2 linked regions of the Oryzias latipes genome follow. The protein of the gene in region 1 purifies or fractionates together with the protein of each later gene. This does not show direct contact. Links are inferred from orthologs where the notes say so. Each region holds a gene or a part of one and is shown on either strand. Other genes may lie near its edges.

The links.
Region 2: the proteins of asxl1 (region 1) and ogt purify together in Homo sapiens (affinity purification with mass spectrometry; 3 studies listed by BioGRID and IntAct, with this or other methods). This does not show direct contact. The link is inferred for Oryzias latipes from reciprocal best matches to the Homo sapiens genes ASXL1 and OGT.

Annotation. Positions count from the first base shown.
Region 1 is NC_019865.2:30,116,237-30,126,744, reverse strand, and holds the end of asxl1 (putative Polycomb group protein ASXL1), read left to right. Parts: intron 1-3,596; coding exon 3,597-6,176; 3' UTR 6,177-6,498; downstream 6,499-10,508.
Region 2 is NC_019868.2:18,362,051-18,373,956, reverse strand, and holds the start of ogt (UDP-N-acetylglucosamine--peptide N-acetylglucosaminyltransferase 110 kDa subunit), read right to left. Parts: upstream 6,508-11,906; 5' UTR 6,182-6,507; coding exon 6,145-6,181; intron 4,829-6,144; coding exon 4,648-4,828; intron 2,818-4,647; coding exon 2,574-2,817; intron 2,456-2,573; coding exon 2,387-2,455; intron 594-2,386; exon of another isoform or gene 470-593; coding exon of another isoform or gene 467-469; intron 1-466. UniProt on the Homo sapiens protein: Catalyzes the transfer of a single N-acetylglucosamine from UDP-GlcNAc to a serine or threonine residue in cytoplasmic and nuclear proteins resulting in their modification with a beta-linked N-acetylglucosamine (O-GlcNAc).

The sequences.
Region 1 (10,508 bases):
CTTTTAAACTGTAAACTTTAGCAAACTGATACCAGCAAGCAGCAACTTTAAACTGATTACTCGTTAGTGTAATATTTAAGTTTCTTTGTTCTCTCAAAAACCCATGCAGATGCAAAAAAAAAAGTTACCCTAAAAAGTATTTATTGTATTTGTTACATCGGATTATATGGCACAAAATCAATAAATGATCTATTTTCAAACTTATGTCATATTTGATGCACACAGAACCATAAGACTCATTAAGAGAGTCAGAGATGGATCAGTCTGTCCAACTTCATTGACTGTTCACAGTAACTGTAAAACTTGTTCGTATCGTGCTACATGTTGGAAGCCTTAGCTACGTTAGTGTACTTACAACAACTAACTCCCAACTTTGTTTGCATCACGTAAGAGACAGACTGATGCTGCTAAAACAAATGTTACTGTGATTATACTAACTCCCAACCTTGACAGTCTCACGTAAACAAAACGCCACTATATTGTTAGCTATGTTAGCGTATTCACAATAACACCCAATCTTGTTTTTAGCTTGTTTAAAAAAAACAGACTTACATTTTGATAGAGCACAATGTACCCCTCAAAATCACTTCATCAGTAAACACAACTAGAATTAATCCACATGTTGAAGTTCAATAGCACGAATAGCTAATAAACTTGACGAAGTGAAGTAAGAAAGCCCTTTTCCAAACAAAAACACCTCAAAGAAAATAAAATCAGGTAAACAATCTGCCATAGTAAAAGTCAATAATGGCTATCTGCAACTTTTATCGTTCATTATTTTTTGCATTACAGACATATTAGACGTGTTTTCATAGGCCTTTGAAAATAATGACCTTGGAGTACTGTTGTTGCTGTTTGTGCTTTTGCAGCAGCGATGTGTGTAGATGTGCTATATGATGCACGTTGTAGGTGACGTTCTGTTAACAGGATAGTAAAATACTGGATCTGATGGGTGTGGAGTCTGCCATGATCTTTGAGGTTTACTCAAGTGAAGGCCTCTGCAGATCTTTGACATGGAGCACTTGACAGAAGATGTCGTCTACATCCAACCTTTTTCACACCACTGACCGGTTTAATGCCAGACAATATTTCCAAAGTTTGCGTTTGATATTTTTTCACCAGTTTCTAAGAACCATATTTTTTAAATTAAATTTCTGCTACAAGTAATTTAGTTTAAAAAAATCTATAGACAGATGACGAAGATTCAGTGAAACAAAGTTGTTGGCAATGATAAGATAAGATAAGATAAAGATACTTTATTGATCCCAGCTTGGGAAATTCAGTTGTTGCAGCGTCGGCGTTAGGCTCAAGATACAAACTTACACACAATAGATGACAGAGAACCAAAACAATCAATCGGAAAGAAACATCAGTGAATTAGCACAGTCGTATTGCATGCCACATCAGGAGAGAGAAAATAGACGGACCATAAATGACTTTATCTATTGCACATGGATGACAAGTTATAGAGTCCAATGGAGTGAGGAATGAAAGATCTCCTGAAGCGGTTTGTGTGACAGCGAAGCTGCCTTAGTCTGTTGGAGAAGGAGCTCCGCTGACCATCCAGTACAGGATGGAGAGGATGCTCAGGATTATCCATGATGGATACCAGTTTATTTAAAGTCCTCCTCTCCATCACAGATTCAAACGTGTCCATTTTGCAACCAATTACAGAGCCCGCTCTTCGGATCAGTTTGTTCAGTCTATTGCTGTCCCTAGCAGATATGCTGCCCCCCCAGCAGACCACCGAGAAGAACAGAGTGCTGGCCACAACAGACTGGTAGAATATTTCAAGCATCTTGCTGCACACGTTGAAGGACCTCAGCCTCCTCAGGAAATGGAGTCTGCTGCTGGCCTTCTTATACACAGCAGTGCTGTTGCTCTTCCAGCTCAGTCTGTTGTCGATGATTACTCCCAAGTACTTGTACTCCTCTACCTCTGCCACATCTCTGCCAAGGATGTTGAGAGGCTGGGAAGCTGGTGGTTTCTTCCTGAAATCCATCACCATCTCTCTGGTCTTTTCCACATTCAGCTGCAGGTTGTTTTCTCCAGACCATCTCACAAATTCATCCACAAGATCCCTGTACTCCTCCTCCCGCCCACCATTAATGCAGCCAACAACAGCAGAGTCATCAGAGAACTTCTGAAGATGGCAAGACTCTGAGTTGTACTGGAAGTCACTGGTGTATAAAGTGAACAGGAAGGGAGAGAGCACAGTTCCCTGTGGGGCCCCCACACTGCTTGTCACCACGTCAGACAGGACACCGCCCAGCCGGACAAACTGCGGCCTGTCTGACAAGTAGTCAATGATCCAGGAGACTAAGGCGCCGCCCACACCCATCCGCTGCAATGGTGATAGTAGTTCCCATAGATATGACTCAGAGCAACTCAAATCAATCACTGTCAACTGGATTCAACATGGCGGCACACGTATCAGGAAGCAACGGTACTTCCTAATTGATAACCTGAGAAGGGAGAGTTTGAGCTGTGTATTGCTTTTAAAAGTCAATGCTCTCAGGGCAAAAAGATTTATCATTTTGTTTTTACAGAAATTATTGTGAATATTTTTATCACAGAGGAACATTTTCTGTGCCAAAATTTCTTAGAAGATGCTTAATTCAGCCTTGCTTTAGGGAAATTCACAAATGTCTGTTTTACAAGTTTTCACAAATCAGCAACTTTATTCTTTGTCAAATTCCTGCGGCTGGCTAAAACTGAAATTGTGACGTCAAAGTGGAATGCTAACAACTGGATGCTAACTTTCGCCGTCACACCACCGTCCTAAAACTGGTATTTTCTAAATATAATAATAGAATCCACTCTGTCTGCATCTTTATTATCTGCATGCGTTAAACATTTGAGAATCAGTCACCGCATATTAAGACGAGCAGCTTCTGGTACATGAGAACAACTGTCTTAATGAATCCATATTTGGAGGAAAACTCCTGGTTTTGTCTGTAAACAGCAGTTTCATGTTTCTTTGAAGTCAAAGACTTTTCTTCAGTTTCCTCACTGATTCTTTTCTCCCAAAAGAAACTTTCCAAATACGTTTTGTTGTTTGGCTACCAACTTAGTCCGAAAACTGCTTAAGTTCACATGATGTGTCAAGACTGACAGATGTGGTGATCAGAACCCAGTGGTTTTCCAAAAAAAAACCTCCGTCAGTATCAGATAATAAACAACACAAAAATAATCAAAGTTAGCCTTTGTATTATTATTTTTTTCTGTCTGTGGCCCTGTACCAAGTGGCCCACGGACTGGTACCAACCCGCAGCTGGGGGGTTTGGGAACACTGCTCTACATGTCTCACAAGATACTTCTTTGAAAGATTTTTTTACAATCCAATCTAATAAAATAAATAAAAAACACAATTTATAAGACAAACTGGCACAGTTTTCATAAAATGCTAGAAAAATAGGGTTGGAAAACTATTTTTTCCCCCCACTTTTGCTCCAATCACTTGTCTGGGACAATCCAGTTAATAATTTTATGAAAATACGGCATATTATGGACCACCAATCCAGTAATATATATCGATGTGCACTACACAACTCTTGCACATATTGATTGCCATCTTCTGTCCTTTTTTCTCCTAGATTCAACTATCCAGAATCAAACCTCCATGGGTCAAAGGGCACCCCACTTACCAGATCTGCCCACGGATTGTGCCCTCCGGAGAGGGCTCACGCCGCTCTGGAACTGGGGGAGCACGAACTCTGGCAGACATCAAAGCCCGAGCCCAGCAAGCCCGAGCCCAGAGGGAGGCCGCTGCTGCTGTTGCGGCCTCTGGCGAAAGGACAGGGACGACCAGTGTCGGGCTGCGGCCTGCTCTTGGGCTATCGGATAGCAACAGTGAACGACGAAGAAGAGAGCACCCAGGACCAACCGAGCCTGGAGGAGGGGGGCAGGAAGGAACCGGAGATGAGAAGAAGGCGGCCAGTGAAATGGAGGAGCAGGAATCGTCTTCAGACGCTAATTCGTCTGGAACACAATTACAGCTTCAATATGTAGAAGCTCACTGTTCCCCTTCATTATCCAACACATCCACCTCCATGTCTGTGGAGTCCCCACAGGCCCCCAGTCCCCACCAAGAGGGGTCAGCTAGGAGTCTGAAAGTAACAGAAGAGGTTGAAGAAACATCAGCAACTTCCCAGAGCTCCCCCTGTAGGTTCACAGACGGGCCTTGCAATCTCTCCCCAGATCCCAACATTACATCCAAGTCATTGGGCACCCAATCTTTTCAGGCAAACCATTTGCAGGAGTCAGCCGATGTCTCCGAGATGGCAGGCAAAGGTTGTGTAAAAACCATCCTGACCCAAACATCAATCCCTGATTCCATCCCTAGGTTTGGGACTCAGGGTGTAGACATTTTACAGACAATTGCCACTTCTTCTCAGAACAAAAAGCAGGAAAGACAAAAGGAGGATGGACCCTGTGTCATCGTCCAGCATAGTTCACACCATGAGGAACAGCGGGAAGTTTCGTCTCATTCAGTGGTGAAACAGCCAGAGGGTTCTCTTCCTCAATGTGATGTGAATCTCAGCATCAGCAGAAAGAAAGAAGAAGATGCAAATACACACAGTGACTCCACAGAAACTGCTTCTGACTGTGAGAATGAAGACCAGGAGGACGGGCAGCAGGAGTTGGCGGACCAAGAGTGGCGCTATCCTCTGAGTACCCAGTGCCCTGGTACTCAGAGCCAGCAGCTCATTGTGCAGTCCAATATGCTGGGTCACAAGGGTCAGACAGTCATTCAGCCTTGCTTTCCAAATGGTCTACCTGAGCTTCAGCATAACCACCCTGAGTCCCAGGACCACCATTCTGTCATTACGGCACCTTTGCTGGGTTTCAGAGAAAAGAATGCTGTGGTAAAAATTAAGCTCAAAGAGGACCGTAAAGCCTCCAGAACAAGTTATGTTGAGGAGTGCCAAGGATCTTTAAAGTCTCCTGTCATTCATTTAAATGTTGCTGCTGCTCCCAAAAGACTGGCTGGTCCAGCCAGATCTGTTTCAAGTGTGGAGGCCAACAACCCTCTTGTTACTCAGCTTCTACAGGGCAGTCTTCCCCTTGAAAAAGTCCTCCCTTCACACTCAGCCAACAGGCTGGAGATAAGCCGACTCCCAGGAACTCAATCCAGGACACCAACTCTAAAGAACCCAGGAACTCGCAACAAAACTGAGGTCCCAGTCCAACTTTCTAGTCCAGAAGAATCAGCTGTTCCTCAGGTTCTTAACCTGTCATCAGTAGAGCAATCTGGTTCCTGTCAGTCCCCAGTTGTGTCAGACTACCACCCTCCGATGGCCCCTGGTGCTGTCCCAGTTATTACTTCTGCACCACCCTCTTTTTCTTCTTCTGGATTGTCATCCAAAACCAAACCAGATGTGTCTCTTACTGCAGTGGAGTCTACGGTCAACAAGTCTCATGGCTCCCACTCATCACAGGAGGGTGTTGCCAACCAGTGCCCAGATACTCATGGGAGTATACCTAATTTACCCTCCCCTCCCTATGTGGACCCCTGTCCCCTGGAGGGGGTGGCAATCATAAAGGTCAATCTACGGCCTCAGCAACCTCAGCAGGTGTCTCCTGCTTCCCCTCCGAAACATGAAGCTAGCACCCGGCCGTCTTGCCAGGCCTTGGCTAAGGCTACGTCAGCTTTAACCCATGGTGTTCTCAAAAAGGAACCTGGGAATGCAATAGATGGGTACCTGTGTGGAGGAGCCATGGAGGGACTTCTCAACATGGAGCTGACACTGGCAAGGATAGCCAAAAAAGACCATGGAAAAGTTTCATACTCATCCAGCTCCCCTTCACCCTTGTCCTCATCTCCCTCACCTTCCTCTTCCGCCTCCTCCCTGCCCTTCCCGTTGTATGGAAAGCTTCCCAAACAGAGTGGATGTGTGGGAGCTGTTAGCTACACAGCCAACCTGTCAATGATGGACAACAGTGGTTTTACCCGGGGTGTGACTGAAAGCGTGCTCCAGCTACGCCCTCGTCTGGCGCCCAGCCACGCTACTCTCAGCATCCAAGCATTCGCCGACAGTGCAACCGACGAGGTGGCCCTGAAGTGCTCCTGCCGCCTCAAAGCCATGATCATGTGCCAAGGCTGTGGGGCTTTTTGCCACGATGATTGCATTGGACCCTCCAAACTGTGTGTGTCGTGCCTTGTTGTCAGATAGTGGGTTTTGGTGGATTTGCTGTTGGAGGTATGGTGGATGTGCACATGCCCTGTAAATCTGGTCTGTTTCTTTGGTTGTTGCTGATATCAGATTTTTAAGCTGTATTGTTTATTGATATTATTATTATTATTGTGAACTTGGAGCATGATTAATTGTACATTTTGCCATTTACCTCATGTTGTCTTGCTCCGCTTGTTATCAGTGGTAGATCACAATTTTTTTGACATCTAATTTGCTCCGCAAACTAGAAAGTATTGTCTCTTTGCAGAGTTATTTTTTTAACCATTGAAAGGAATAAAACATTGCTTCGTTATTTTAAGTTTGAATAGTTTTTCTGTTCATTTTAGTCAACTAACGAGATCATTACTCATCGAAATTTTAAAATAAAATGCAGAATCAGCATTTATGTGAAAACTATAAAATCATTTAAACAATTGCTAAGATGTATTTCACTAAAATATGTAAAAACAGATAAAAAAACAGGAAAACCTCTAGATAGATGTTTATTTTTGCCAAGAACTATTTTTCTAAAAAAATTTGGCTTTAGAATTGCTATTAAATGTCTGCAGCTCCTTAGGCGACTAAAAATAAGTGCTATGCAACACTTGAAGAGTAAAAATAACATAATTGGAGAATTAACAAGCCCAGTAATACTACTATCCAAATTAAATATTTAAGATTATTTAATGCCTCCTGCTGTCACTTGGGGATGCTTTTTGAGGAAATTTAAATCCATTGGACTAAAAATGATTTGGCAGTTGCATATTCTTTACATTTTTCCCATATAAAAAGCTAAGAGTTTAGTAACATGTTTTTGAAAATCCTATTTTTTTATCATCTTTTAGCTGTAGTTTAAATTATTTAAGTTATAAACAGACCAATCTGATGCCTCAAAAAAAGTAAGTGGCTTTGCTTCAAGCGTTCGAAGCCTTTGACTGATTCTTCCAAGCCCGCTTTCAGTGGAAGGGGTGTTCAATTCTATATTATTTGTGTAGCCCAAAATCACAACATTCATCTGAATGGGCTTTGTATAGGCAATTGTAAAGTAAACATGAATTCAAAAGGATCGACAATACATAGAATTCAATAGGAAAATACTGAACTAACTAAACAGAATAAACTAAACTGGGCAACCCTGCCCTTAGGGTGTGGCCTTCTAAAATGCTCACTGCTGATTGGAGAGTGGTTGCCATAGAAATGTAGACTTAGACCAAAATGGACCAATCACGGCTTACAAAGGATGTCTGGCTCCAACATGGCGACGGACTCATTGTGGAAAAATGGCAACTGAATTGACTTCATTTGGTTGGACCCTGAAGCAAGGCATTTTCTATGGGTGACATCCATAGACTGTAAAAACAATGGACAGCTCTACCCCTCCCTTCGTTTGTTTCCAGACAGTAAGTATCTGCTGGTTTCAAGAAGCCAAAATCCCATAGACTTCAATTTAAAAATAGACTGATATTACTGATTCATTTGACAGATTTCATCCATGCTGTCTGAAGGCCTTTTCCTTCTTATTTTGCAATTTTTCTTGCAGCATAAGAAAAAAAACTTTTCCCGTGCCTTTCTGGCTCAACACGGATGAACCAGGAGTGAAAAACTATAAAAAATAAGAATAAAGGTTAAATGCAAAATAACTGTTGGCAGATTCAAATGTTTGAATGGTTCTCTCTTAACCCTTGTGCTATCCTAGGCACTTTAACATTGGGAGTTGGGTCATCTAGACCCACTAGACAGTGCGCTGAACCTTTTTTCTTCAATGATTTGTGATCTTCACTGGTGTCCATGGATTACATGAAATCTTTCCACCTTTATCCACCTTTGTCATGGTAGGGAGAACACGTCAATGTAAGGGGGGGGTCATCTGGACCCACTAGACAGTGCGCTGAACCTTTTTTCTTCAATGATTTGTGATCTTCACTGGTGTCCATGAAATCTTTCCACCTTTGTCATGGTAGGGAGAACACGTCAATGTAAGGGTGGGGTCATAGGATAGCACAAGGGCTATCGGCGTGTACAATTCTCCCGAGCCGCGTCATTGACTGGCTAAAGGGGAAAGCTGAATACAGTCTGTGTTTCCATCACAACAATGTGAAAAACGTTATTAAAATTCTAGAAATCAAACCAAATTAAAATTGCGAATAAACACAAACCAACTCACGCTATAAGTCCTTCAAAAACACGGATGTGAACAATACCTTGCATTCACAGCAGATGCATTCAAATATCTGTGTGCATATCTCATTACAATGTATGGAGGACATGGATGATGTTTAGAGATTGGATTTATTCATTTTTAAAAAAATTCTACAAAACCATCTGTAATCATGTTCATGAGATCAATCAGTCCCCTGGTATTAGCTCCACTCCCGCTGTAAAACTGCTTTCCCTGACTACTGTGTCTCTGCAACCCACATTAGTTCAGGAGGGGAAAAACGAAAACTAGAATCAAATTATACGATATTGGTTTCTAAATCGCTCTGGCCATCTGCTATGCCGGGATCCAGCGGGGCGACTGCAGGCTGGCGTCCTGTCCAGGCTGTATCCCTCCTTCGCTCAACAGTAGCTGGGACGGGCTCCGGCAACTCTGCGGTCCCAGAGTGGAATCATTAAGAAAATGGTTCCAAGCTGTCTACCTGTGCAGAGTTGTTGCTCTTGTGACTTATTTAATTTTCAAAAAGTGTTTTCATTACAGATTTTGCGTAACATGTCCCTTTCGATACACCTCAGAAAATCCTCTAAGCACAAAAGCTTATTTTTTGATAAATGTGAGTATTTTCAGAAATTTTCATGTTTCCATTAGGCAAATTTATTATCACAAATCCAATTTGCGCAATTTCATTTTCAATAGAAATGTAGCAGCAAGAGATGGTCTCACAATAAGCTCACTCCTGTTTGGCAGCAGTAGTTGCCATAGATACGATGACTCAGAACGAGGCAGCCCAATCACTGCCGACTGATTTCAATATGGCGGCGTCCATGTCAGGAAGCAATGATGAGGGATTTGGCCTGATTAAGTCAGGTAAGGCATTTTCTATGGATGACGTCACACCTCAATTTGTCCATCATTTTTACAGTCTATGGGGACATCACACATGGTTCGTCGAGTTATATTATACAGTCAATGTCTGTACAACCTCCTGACTATCTGAAAAATCAACTTTTTTTTTATCCACAAAAGACACAATTCCCAGAGGCCCACTCCTTCACATTTGATTTCACTACATCCCCACATGTCCCCTTTAGATACTAAAAAGAAGGTATTCAGTAGTACGCAACTGAAAGATATTCAGGTTTAGAAATGTCCTCTGCAGAAGACACATTGCATTGCTGGTAATCAGGAGCATATTGGTGTAAAAATAACTATTTGGTCAGCAATCACTGTGTAATGGAACCATGGTCAAAAGTTCCTGTCGGTCTTCTGCAGATTTGCACACAATATAGTTCTCAATGCTCTCACTGATGAATGGAGGTTTTTACCCAATAGCTCATCATAAAAGTGATCATCATTCATCCTTTGTTTATACAGGGAGATTGTCGTGTCCTCTTTACTGAAAAGCAGATCTAAAGCATGTTTCCACCCCCATGCTTCACAGTGGGCATGTTGTTCTTAGGATGCAGCTCAGCCTTCGTCTCTCTCCAAACTAGGTGAGTGGCGTTTACACCAAAAAGTTCTGTTTTGGTTTTTTATCTGACCACATGATTATCTCCTGATCCTCATCTTTTTGGGATTGTTGTCATTTTGAAAGACCCAGCCACGTTTCATCTTCAATGCCCTTGCTGATGGAAGGAGGTTTTCACTCAAAATCTGACGATATACATGGTCCCATTCATTCTTTCCTTTGTCCAGGGGTGTCAAACATACGCCCCGTGGGCCGTAACTGGCCCGCCAGATGGTTTAATCTGGCCCGCCCACAAAGAGTAAAAATTATAAGGATGTTTAAAAAAAAAGGCACACTTCTAGTCCATTCCTGTGGCGAGTTATGCTTTTTTAAAGAAATAACAGAAATGCGCATTTCCGCCACTGGGGAGCAAAGGAAAAGCAAAACAGGTGAAACAGAATATCTGTGCACGTGCCAAAAGTGAAACCTAACAGCTCTGAGTCTGGGTAAGCAGTAGTTTGGTTCAGCGCAAGCCCCACCACTGTTATGTTGCTATAAGAATGATTAGTGACGCACTAATGACCAAAATGAGTGCTGAGCTTTCCAGGAAAAATGAACAGAGTTTTATTTCTTCAAGGAGTTGAATGCAAAACCTGCATACTTTGTATGTCATCAGCTGGTCGCAGTGCTCAAAGAATATAACATTCAGCACCACTATGAGACTCAT
Region 2 (11,906 bases), on another chromosome or scaffold:
TGGTGCATTTGGGAGCGAGGCTGGTTTTTGGGTGGGGTGAGGTCCGCAACCAAACAGGCCAAGGGGGATGAGGGGGGAGGGCGTTGGGGGTTGCACGCGTGCGCTTTCCGCCATTTAGGTTGCTTGAAGGGTATCGCTGCGCAGCCCCTGCGCTACTGCAGACTCACAGCGCATTTACTGCATCATCAGAACGCTGCAACTCCAAATAAAGAAAGGGAGAAAACAAAACAAATAGGAAAAATAACCAGCATGTAAGTGTTAGAGGGTTCTTAATGTTTTTCATAATTACAGCTTCCAAATCCAAGTTTCTTTTTACTTCATATAAAATTGGTTAATTAGTAAAACAAATTTCAATAAAAACTAACTGAAAAATATTAAGTTTATTTTTTCTTTCTTTCACAAGAGCGAGGGGCTCAAGCATGAAGTAAGGTGGTTTTTCTTTTGTTGGCAGTTACAAACCCGTTACCATATTTTTGGACTTTGTCAGAGTGGTGGTCGCAGCTGGCTGGAAGAAGAGGAGAGGACTGAGGCTGCCCTAGAGTTCCTTTCCGCCAGGCACCTACGCAGGAATAGTGTCACCCACCTGAAACCTTCTAAATAACAATATCAGTCGTGGAAAAAACCAAAAGAGACAAAATCAGAAAACAAGATCGTTAGTAAAAGTTCTTCAAACAATACATTATTTGTTGATTATGGATATAAAGCACCAAATCACGACAAAACAAAAATAAATGGTAGCTTTAGCTTTAGCTTTCAGTCATGCATTGAGGGCCTGATACAAAACAAGAGGATTGCTTACAGGCTAACCGAGGGAAGAAAGGCTTTGCTGTTCAGTTAATCACTGACATGTAGTCAGACCTCTATTTTCCTGCCAATTGAGAATTTAAACCAAACTACAAAGAGGGCGATTACTGGCTTGATCTTACCCAAATGAACTGATCCCATTTCAGTAGGAATATTATTACATATTTGAAGGAAAAGGGAAGAAATGTGAACCAATGCGTTTCTTATATTCCACTAGCATTTTCAGAAAATATATTTTTTAAAACTTTGATTTCTTTATCCTGGCCTGCTTTCTTGAATCCTGGCCAATGGATAGGGAAGAAAATTCTGTGGTTTAAGTACTTGTATCTAGAAGTCTCCACAGATCTGAAATAAAGAGGTCATTGCTGCTGCTGCGCATCATACTGTCTTTCTAATCCAGCATCTGGCGCAGGTGGTGGAGCACAAATAGTGAGTGAGCTGTCTGCTTGACACTACTTCAACCGCCTTAAGGCACTGAAGAATGAGCTTTATATGTAAATAAACGGCAGGGCATGTCAATAAATATCAGAATGATTGACTAATCGTAAATCTCAGTGTAAGTACTGACTTTTGGACATGAAAGGCATGTGGGGATGCGCCTCGGCATCAACTAGGGGAAGCTGATTGGTCAAGAAGACAGCTCTGGTTGCGCACACTCCACCGATCCTTAGCAAGCGCGCGGGGGGCAGAGCTACAGAGCTGGGGAGCTTGTGACTCCCTGATGCTCCTCCACACTCCTTTACCCCCCTCTAGCATGAAATAAGATGGCCTGTAACCAGCAGGACAACTCCATATGACCGGATTTGAACGGACCAAGGGAGCCCCCCCCCCCCCCCCCCCCCGTGACAAGCACATTTTAAAGTGACAAAGTTGAGTTGTAAACTCCTAGTGGGGAAAAAAATAAAAAAGGATCCACACTGGCAGAAACTACCAGCTGAAAACAGGGATAGAAATATTGTCATTGGGCACTTGATATGCAACACAGGAGTATAGCAGTTAGGTTAGAAACCATCTTATCTTTTGCACTTCAGATAAATTCTATCTTGATATCAGTTCATAATCACTTTAAAGACCGAGCCAGCGTTTTCCCTCCCAGATAAACATCATTAGGATGCAGGGCCAGGGTTCAATCTGAAGGGTTCACTTACTGCAGCCTTTCTTCCTGAAAGGGGAGGGGATGACCTTTCATTAGCAAGGTCAGCAAAAACAGTGGGACTAAGTAATAAGGACCATTGTCAAAAAGAATTTGTACAAAAAGATCAGAAAAAATAAAGATTTAGATAATTTAAGTTCGAAAAATGTTTAAAGAAAGGACAGCTTTAGAGTGCAATATGAGTCTTTTAGACTCTAGTTCAATATTTCCAAAAAAACTTTTCTAAAGTGAGGTGAGAAGCTCCTTGCAAGTCTAAAATAAGCTGATGTTTATCTGGCCCCCAGAGAAAAGAGGACTTTAATAAAGCTCCTAAAAGTAACGAAAAAATAAAAGAAAAAGGAAGAATCGATGGCCTAAAAAGACATCCTAAAACTAAAGGAGAGAAAATAAAACCCACATCTTTAGCATTGAAGACACAAAGACGCGTACCTTAGCCTCTTCCAAACGTCCCAGGGCTTTGAGCAAGTTGCCCAAATCGCTACGTACACAATAGAGATCCTGTAAAAGAAAAAAAAAAACACAAAGATTTAAAAATAGAATAAAATAGAATGTTTTCACTAACAAGTCCCCCCCCCCCCCCCCCCAAATTTTTCAAGTACTTAATAACACCACTTACTGGGTTGTATTGTAAAGCAGACACATAAGCTTGGACTGCTCCCTCCATGTCTCCTGCAGCCACCAGAGCTGCTGCCAAGTTGATGTACCCGTCAATGAAGTCCGGCTTCAGCCTCAGTGCGTGGCGATAATGCTCGATGGCCTCCTGCAACTGACCACGCTCCTTGTACACGTTTCCCAGGTTGGAGTAAGCCTCTGCAAGCATTGGATTCTGCTTGATGGCCAAAGTACTGAAGTGAGCAGACCTGTGAGCAAAAATATAAACACAGTTAACCCTCAACACCGACACGGTCACCAGCGGCAGAAAACACACGTTTGCGCTGATTTACATAACTTTCCTGTCGTTGCAGTGGTTTCCACGGTGTCGAATTTTTATGCAACGATGTTGACAATCAACAAATAGACAATCGATAGTTGTTAGAAGAAATATACATAATTTAAGCTGTGTTTTTAAAAGTGTGTCATCGTAATTTATGTTGTAAATATAAGTTATTATTGTGAAAAAATGTCTAGGAATTCAACCAGAGCAAAACTCTTGTCAGAACTTTGAAAGAAGAGGAGTTGGAAAATCAGGAGATGCAGGACGGTCTTCATCCCGCATGCAAGTAAAACATTTATGTACAAAAAAGTGCCAAGGATTAGATTTACCAGAAAAGTGTAATTTTAACTATTGCTGTCATGTTTCTGTGGTACTCCGATTTTTTTATTTACTTTTATTGCATTGCTGCATATCTGTACCAACAAAGATGTATTTCAGCAAACATGCTACTTGCATTGTTTGTGTTACACAAATCATACAGATTTGTCATTGATTTACATTAGGGCAGCACAAAATGAGGAACACTCGCAATATGCGGTATTAGTGATCAATATCATGACGATGACATAACTTACGATACATAAAAAAATGGAAAAACAACCAAAAACAATTCCCAGTTCACTGGTACAGTTTAATTTAAATAAGAGTTAAACGTAGTCTACATAGGAGGCCAACATCTAACATAACAGATCCGATTGGTCAAATGCATTAAGGGATTTTTTTGATTCGTTACATACTTCAGGCTGCCATAAGACTGTTTTAGCACATTTAAGATTACCATTCATTGCAATTTTGCGGTCTTTTGCTATACGCGTATTGCACAGCTTGATATCGCAATAATGATACATTTGTGACTTATTGTGCAGGCCTAATTTACATCATGCTGTCTGCATTCTGACTTTCTTCTAATGAGAGTGGATATAAAAAAGGAGTGTTTTCTACAAAAGAAGCACCCCTCAGATTTGTGACAAATGTAGAGTTGGCCTGTGCTTTCAACTGGAATAAAACTGCCTCAAAGTCTGCCATATGATCAAAAAATGTCCCTTCTATGTTTGCAGAAGCTGTAGAAAAATAAAATACAATCGTCCAGACAAACAAAACTGCTTGTGCTACTTCAAACGAGTTAACAATAATTTCAAAACATTTAGATCAGTTAATCTAGGTTTTTTATAAGAAAAATAGTCATTACAGTTATTACAATTTGAGTAAATTTGGAAGTTAAATATGTACTGAATAAAGAGGCAAAAGACTTCACTCTAAAGTTTTGAGACAATTTATTGTTAATTAAAATAAGGCTGGGGAGGCCAATTACAATAAGCTTTGTGTTGACTTTAGTTCAAGGTTTATCAGTTCTGTCGGTGATTAGAGTGAAAATACTAGGAATAAATGTGTTGCATGATTAAAATTCTCTATACTGGAAACAGTATGGTAGATGCTGATTGTCGATGATTTGTGACTTACCTAAAATCATATCTATTTTATGTGTTCTTGTCAAATTTACCATCTCAATTTTATTTAGCATCTACTTGAAAACAAAAACATGTTTTCATAACTGGAAATAAATTCAGGTGTCAAAGGATTAGGGAATCATCAATAGAGGCCTCTTTAAGAAGTAGAAATAGCACCTCAGCTAAAAAACGGCTGGTTTCTTCTAACAATAAAGAAAGTGTTGGAAATACCATTTCTTGATCCTTTCATTTGTAAAGCCCTTCCATTCTGCTGCTCTCATTTGCCAGCCTGTATAAAGTGTTCTCACCTGTCAAGTCTTCTGCACTGGAAGTGAATGGAGGACAGCAGCAATAACACTCCAGTATTATCAGGCTCCTGCCTCCACAGCTGCATGCAGTGGCGCTCGGCCGCCTCAAAATCTCCTGACTGATACTCCCGGTGTGCAAGCTCAGCCAACCCTTGGAAGGAAAGCATACGTTTTGTTGGTTCTGGACAACCAACACAGGCCAAGGAGGGGGGAAACGACATGTTAGAGGTGATGAAAGAAAATAAAGACGACAAATGAAAAAACAGGAAGAAATAAAAATAGAAGCAAACATGACAATGTTTGTATTAAAATAAATGCCTGACAAATGTAACTTCAAAATGTGATAATGGGTAAAAATGATGACGTCACAAGAGGGAACATAAGGGGGACACTTCACAACTTTTATACAAACTATAAGCATCTGTACATATAAATTAATTACAATTTAATGTATATAAAAAATGCACACTGACGCTTTTTTCCAACTAAGGAAACGCATAATTTATATGTCAGACTAGCTTTTCCAAAATGCAGAGTAAACGAAAACGTTATTAAGTCTATTCGTCATCAAACAGGTGCATCTTGATAGAGAACAGGGAGATTGTGGCTCCACCTACTGTAGCATCTACGTCACTGCTACAAGCTTTTTCCAACAGCATTTTTATCATCTGCTGCTGCTAATTCACGATTGAATTTTAATCTTAAATTTCTTTACATATCATCCATTATAAGAAAAATGCTACACGAACAAGTTAAAAACACGATTTTCATCGAAGTGGGTCTTTATTGTGGGGGTGGGGTGTGTGGAAAAAAACTGCACCACAACGCACGCAAAATCTGCTAATAATCGCGTTAAAGTTAGTTTATCGTTAAAACTGAGCTTGTTCGTCATTTTCTAATTTTGAAAAACATATATCCCTAACATTCGCCGTCCCTCCCAAAAAAAAATGAATTAAAAAATAAGATATCTTTGAAGGCATTTTAGTAGGACACTTCATTTCAGCGCCCTTTATTGCAAACCGAAACGCCCCTTAGCTGGCGGCCATTTTCTCAGACAAAAACCACGAGATAAATGTTCAGTTTAGGATTTAAAAAAATAAAATGTATGAACATAGTGACGCCCAAGGAGGAAAAATGTTGCAGCGCCAAAGATTTAATCGTTTCCTACCCATTTAAACGTCACATCTACAAATACCAACGCTAGCTCGTCTTGACTTAATACTGTTTAGGTTAAGACGCCAAATGAAGGAATATTCGGTACAAATTGGCGAAAAATATAATAAAATAGCCTTATTATAATATATCTATTAATACATATAAATTGGTACCGTGGTGTTAGAAGAGCGGCGCTACTGGTTTACATACTAGCATCCTCATTTACCTTATTGCTGTGGATTACCAAAAGGGTCATTGTTAGATTAAAATTTACTTTTAAAAACTATTTTAAATCGTTGCTTCTTTCTAAAGGAGGTGCTTTTATTTTTTTGAGCCACTAACCTGTACTGTCTGCCACGTTTCCCACAGAACTCGCCATCTCCCCAGCAGTCTTCGTTTCTTGCACGGCGGTCGTCAATGTGTCGTCTGGGAGCTCACAGCTTCAGAGAAAAATAGATGTATTTCTTATAACTAACTGTGGTCTTTCTGAGACGAAAACTGAAAGCACGTTGTTGTCTGGCTAGGTAGACCGGGTTATAGTTACCTACTAATCTCGTATTCAGAATAAATTTCCTAAAGCCCTACCTTAAAATGCCGCTGTTTGGGTATATTTACACAGATAATGTAGTTACTGCACCTACATATGACATAAAAAATATACCGCTACCGTTCACGATATTCTATCTGCACAACAAAGCAGCTAGTGAACGTAAAATGGCGAATTGGGTGGAACTCGTTTTTGTGATCAACTAGATCCTGACACCGGCATTGATTGAAAATAATAGTTGGGCATTAATACATGTGACTATAAACCCAATATACATTATTATTTTTATTGTATTAAGAAGTTATACATATACATATATATAACCTGATGTAAAATTATACACTTAAGGTAAAACCACGCGGAAGAATACAATGGTGCAGTGAGACTCAAACGGTAAAAGGAAGCAGCACTGCTCGGAGGTATCTGAAAGAGTCACGTGTCAGCTGTGCTGCGAGGAAGTGGAAGGTGCGCTGGTCTAGTAACAAACACATCAACATTACATAACCGTGGGTTGTTTGATTTCTTTTTATTTTCTTTTAGTTCTTCTTGTAGTTTTATTTATCTTTTTATTTTATTTTAGTTCTTCTTGTAGTTTTTATATATATAGACACACACAAAAAACATATTCAAATACACACAAAAGAAGTTCAGATAAGATTTGTAATTCCAGGGACATTTAACAGGTGTTAGCTTTTATTTTATTTTTAACTGCAAAGGGTATTTTCTTAATGTGTAAAGCAAGCATTAAATGTACAATCTACTGTTAAATATCTTTCCACATAAATACTGTTTACTAATCCTTACTAGTTACATATATTTTGTCAACTGATTTTTTTTTAAACTGTAGCCTGATGGATAGAGTTCTGGTTAAATCAACATCAATTGCTATGTGAAGGAAGTTGCCAACAGGCTCAGTTTACATTGAACATCACTGACAGGATGTGTTTGCACCAGAATAACTATTCTTCTAATCTTCAAGTCCCGAGCTTAAACAACTTTATTTCTATTTCTTTTTAAAATATTTCTAGGACTTGCAGTATGTTTATGGTTTTTTTCAACCAAGCAATTTTCCTGCAAGATTAATCGACATCTTCTAACACATCTTATTTTTTGCCAATATTTAATGTTTTTCCTTAATATGTTTTGCCAACATTGATATCCAAACATAAACCCTTGTTTTTCTTTTCTTAATTATGTTTAAATTAATTAGTTTTTGTTTTAACCAAATGTTTTTTAACCCTGTTTTTGCAAACAGCAAATGTACATTTAAGATAAAAAAACAAACAAACTCCTGTTTCTGACATATTAAAAATGTTGCTGGTGTGCTGATGCTGTGATCTGTCATAAATTTGCAAATAAACCAGTTTACTGCAAATTTTAAAATCTACTGTTTACCCTTTTTTCTCTACTGTTTTAATCTATGCTCCTATGCATGCATGCACCATTTTTGTTGGTTTTTTTAAGTGTGCATGTACATGTATGAATGAATACAAAAAATGCTTTTTTTTTTTCAAAAGCACTATTTAAGGAGTAGCTACTCAAATTTTGTTGCAGGAATACAATGTCAAATAAGGCATTAATGATTCTGAATATTAGTTTTAAAGTAAAATATTGGATCAAATTTTCATGATTCATTGTTAATACAAATGAATACTTATACCAATATTTTGCCATTATTGGAACAAGACAAACAAATCAGAATGCTGTTTTTTTATTTATTATAAATCTACTTAAGTAAAATGGAAATATCTGGGTTAAATTTTCTCTAAAACTAAGGTTTACATTTCTTAATTTTAAAATGTTATTACAGTCAATCTATCTCTTTAAACATAAGTATGTATTACAAACTCTCGACACAGTCGAAAGTAGGAAGCAAAAAGATAATTTCCTGAAGCAAACATAACTGCCAAAAAAATGTGATGATCAAAAGTGAAAATAAATAAAATGTGTCTTAGAATGTGGCTTCATCAGCAGCTCTTCCTTTGCTTCCTTGTTTCTCCTGCTTTAGCTGCCTTCCCTTCATTTCTGATCGAGGGCGTGTCTGTTTGCAAAACAAACCCGGATGTGCAACACAGCAGTTCTCACAGAACCTGATTTCTATCAAGTTTTCCACATACGTTTGTGTTCTTGTTGTGTCGAGAACAGGCACATGTTTCTCTGTTTGTCTTTGATTATCACATGTTTCTGAAAAGGGCCCATGCGGGTCTACCTGAAGCCCAGAGTGCTCCAGATGTTATCCAGTCATTGGTTTAGTGTCATGCTTTCTCCTTTGAAATGTGTTTTGTCTCCATGTTGGTTTGTGTGAATTGTGTCACAATACAGTCAAAGATTTACAAAGAAGATTTAAAATACTAGAAGAACCAGAGTTGTTTTAAGTTGTTTTTGCTTTCCTCTCGTCTCCTCTGGATCCTTTGTTCTATTCTAAAATTGAGCAGATATTTACACATTAGAATTTCACAGCACAGAAGCATGAGCTACAAATGCAAGTGGCTCCAAGATGACATTTCTAGGTGACATCCCATGAATCATCTCTACAGTGGTCACAGTGAATTTACAGTTTCATTCCAATTAAATGGATTAAATTCACCTAAAACAAGAAAACGACATTAGTGGGAGCAACACTATACCATCTAGATTTGATTATGTTTAAAAAGAACTGGAGTCTACTCAGTCTTCCAGGTAGGTGGCTTGTTTTACAGATCTGTTTCGATTAACTTTAATGTAAAATGGCTCCATGGTCTAGATTTTTGTCAAGTCTTCAATAACAAGTTCATCCACTTTTATGTCTCCTGAGAACAAGCTCTAGCACTAATCTAAACCACACTTCTGAGGTTATCCTTTCCTGAAAGTCAATGGCGCCGTCACCCTGGATGAGTCTAGTAACAATAACGTGTCATCATAATGAAAAAAACTCTGACCCGGAAGCAGATGTCTTTTTTTCTTTGTTCATTTTTGAACAGTTTGATTGAACATCACTCCGGTACTCACTTCACCAGCACCCTGTCAATTATAGCTTAGTTTGATTGCTGTTTCCAGTCATAATTTGAGTTTTAGATCTCATTTTATGTTTCCATATGTTGGGTGTGGGGGTCATGAGGGATCATGGTATCTTGTGTGTTTTATAATTTTATAATATAAAAAATCAAAAATATTCTATTTTTATCCTTTTTTTTCATTGAAACCCACATAAGTACTCTTGTGTAATTATAAATTGCTAAATAAAAAAAAGTTTAATTCAATCATACATGCAGGCTGTCATAATTTCCTTGGCAGCTGAAACAACACATAATTCATCATTCTCCTTTGTCATTTTTATTTTACTTTTACTGTTCATGTCCATTTTTGAATCATTCTTTTTTAATCATTTTATTCTGTGCAGTGCTACTGTGGGTTTGCCTTCTATAGAAGGTGAATAAGGTGTACCAAGTCATTAAAAGGCCACATAGAGACTAATGAGAACTTTCACCTACTCACAGTAAGGCCTCAGGTAAGATTTTATCTCATAGCTTTCTTGTAACAATGCAGCACATGCATTTATTTGAACTATATCTTGTTTGTTGACCTGACCAAGTGGAACTTTTCCAAATAAAAACCCCTAATTGTACTAATTGAATTTTATTTGTTTGTTTTTCCTCTTAGAGTGCCAAAGGTGATTTTTAATGTGGCATTAATATGTCCTGAAAAGTCCCACCCTGAAGACACCAAAGTCTCTTTGCAATCCCAATATGACAGGTGGGTCTTTGTACTGCACACAGAACAGTTTTATTCTTGTGACCTTCATACCACAGAGTCATGCTGAAACAACAGGATAACACCCTAATCAAAGTGTCTTCTCCAGACTATTTTAAACCGGTTTGCAGACTTTTTAATTATCTTGCATGAAGAAAATACTCTGATCCTATATTAAATTATTTTTGTGTTTATTATTATTTTATAATTTAATTTGAAACGCATACATTTCACTTTTCAAAACATTGAGGTGTGTTTATGCAGTACTTAAAATTACCAACAGGGGGCAGCATCTATTAGGTCTTCAGCCTTTGACGTTCACATGGAGCAGTACTTTTGACATTAAATTGTCTTATTTTACTGCTTTCTGATCAATTTTAAGTACCTATTTAAAAAGGCCATAGTTTAATATTCATCCTTATTAGCAGTAGAACTTGTGAAATGTATTTTATCTAAACTAAGCTATCCTCCTAAACACAAGACTTTACAGGTGTGCCATGATCCTTATGTTGCATTTTAGTCAAATTTTAGACTTTTATATCTGAAGATTATTTTAATAAAAGGCCCATAATGACCTCATGTGGACTTAGTAAATATACAATAAATAATGTTTTCTTTGAGTTTTTTCCAGTATTTTCCTTCAATTTTGGTCAGGGAACTTAATTTCAGAATCAATGATTTTTGATGCAAAAATAACTAGTGAAACTGAAATTTTAAACTTAAGTTCATAAGAGAAGTGGAAAAAAAAAACTTTAAGAACCAATTTCATTATCACAGTTTGTGTTGAGTTTCATTGGATTTGTGAATGGAAACAATGTTTTACTACTGTTCAAGTTAAGGAATAAGTGATGCCTTTAAAATGTTTGTGTACTTTAGAGATGCTGAAAATGGATTTGTTGTTTGTCAGACTCTTGTTTTACAGCGCCCTCTTCTGTGAAGCAGCTAACATCAATGCTTCTGTTGGTTTTGCGCTGAACGCCCCAAGCATCCAGAGGGTGCTGGGTTCATGTACTCTTCTGCACGTTCTTCTCGTTCTCACTCACTCATCATACTGCTCAGGGTCGCCTGTGCAAAGGATGATGTAATGGATGCTGTGTGCGTACAGCAATCGCATTTGACATGCTTTATCTTTGTGCATGGGAAGGTTATAAAAATGTGCACATCTTCTCCATCTCAAAGAGTCTGTTTGATCTAAACACAAAAGCTCCACTTTCCGGGTACTATTTTAGGAAACACGTGAGCGCAAAATATTTGCTAACAGATTAATTTAGACTAGCCTCTATTAAAAAAACAAATGTGCTGATACTCAGGGTCTGCTGTGCTGGTTAATTGATGGGTCCAGATATGTTGTGACCGAGAGAGTGGCCTAAATTTTTGCAGCCCATTTGTTTTAGGATGAGATCCAGTGCACACCAATGACCCATATTATCTGAGATGCTTTGGAATGCTTGGGTTGCTTTGGAATACAGAGGGAGTGAAGCTGTTTATGTCTTGCAAAGCCTTCTATCAAACATCTTACTTTCAAGACTGGATGTTAGTCTGCTACTGAGCAAATAACTCAATTAGTTTCCTTCTTCTTTTTTTTTCCAAGATTCAGATTGAATTTCTGGGTTTTTCTTTGCAGAGAATCAAAAATAAAAACAGAATAAATCTCTCCCTAAAGATTAAAAACAGTATTCACTTTATTTTTTGATGTTGCTTTCACAAAAAGCAACGTCTATAAAATAAAACTAAAAGTTTCACTTAAGTTCAAATGATATGATTTTAAAATAAAGGCAACATTTCCTCAAGAGGTGTAATAATTCCATATTTTATCAAATACCTACAT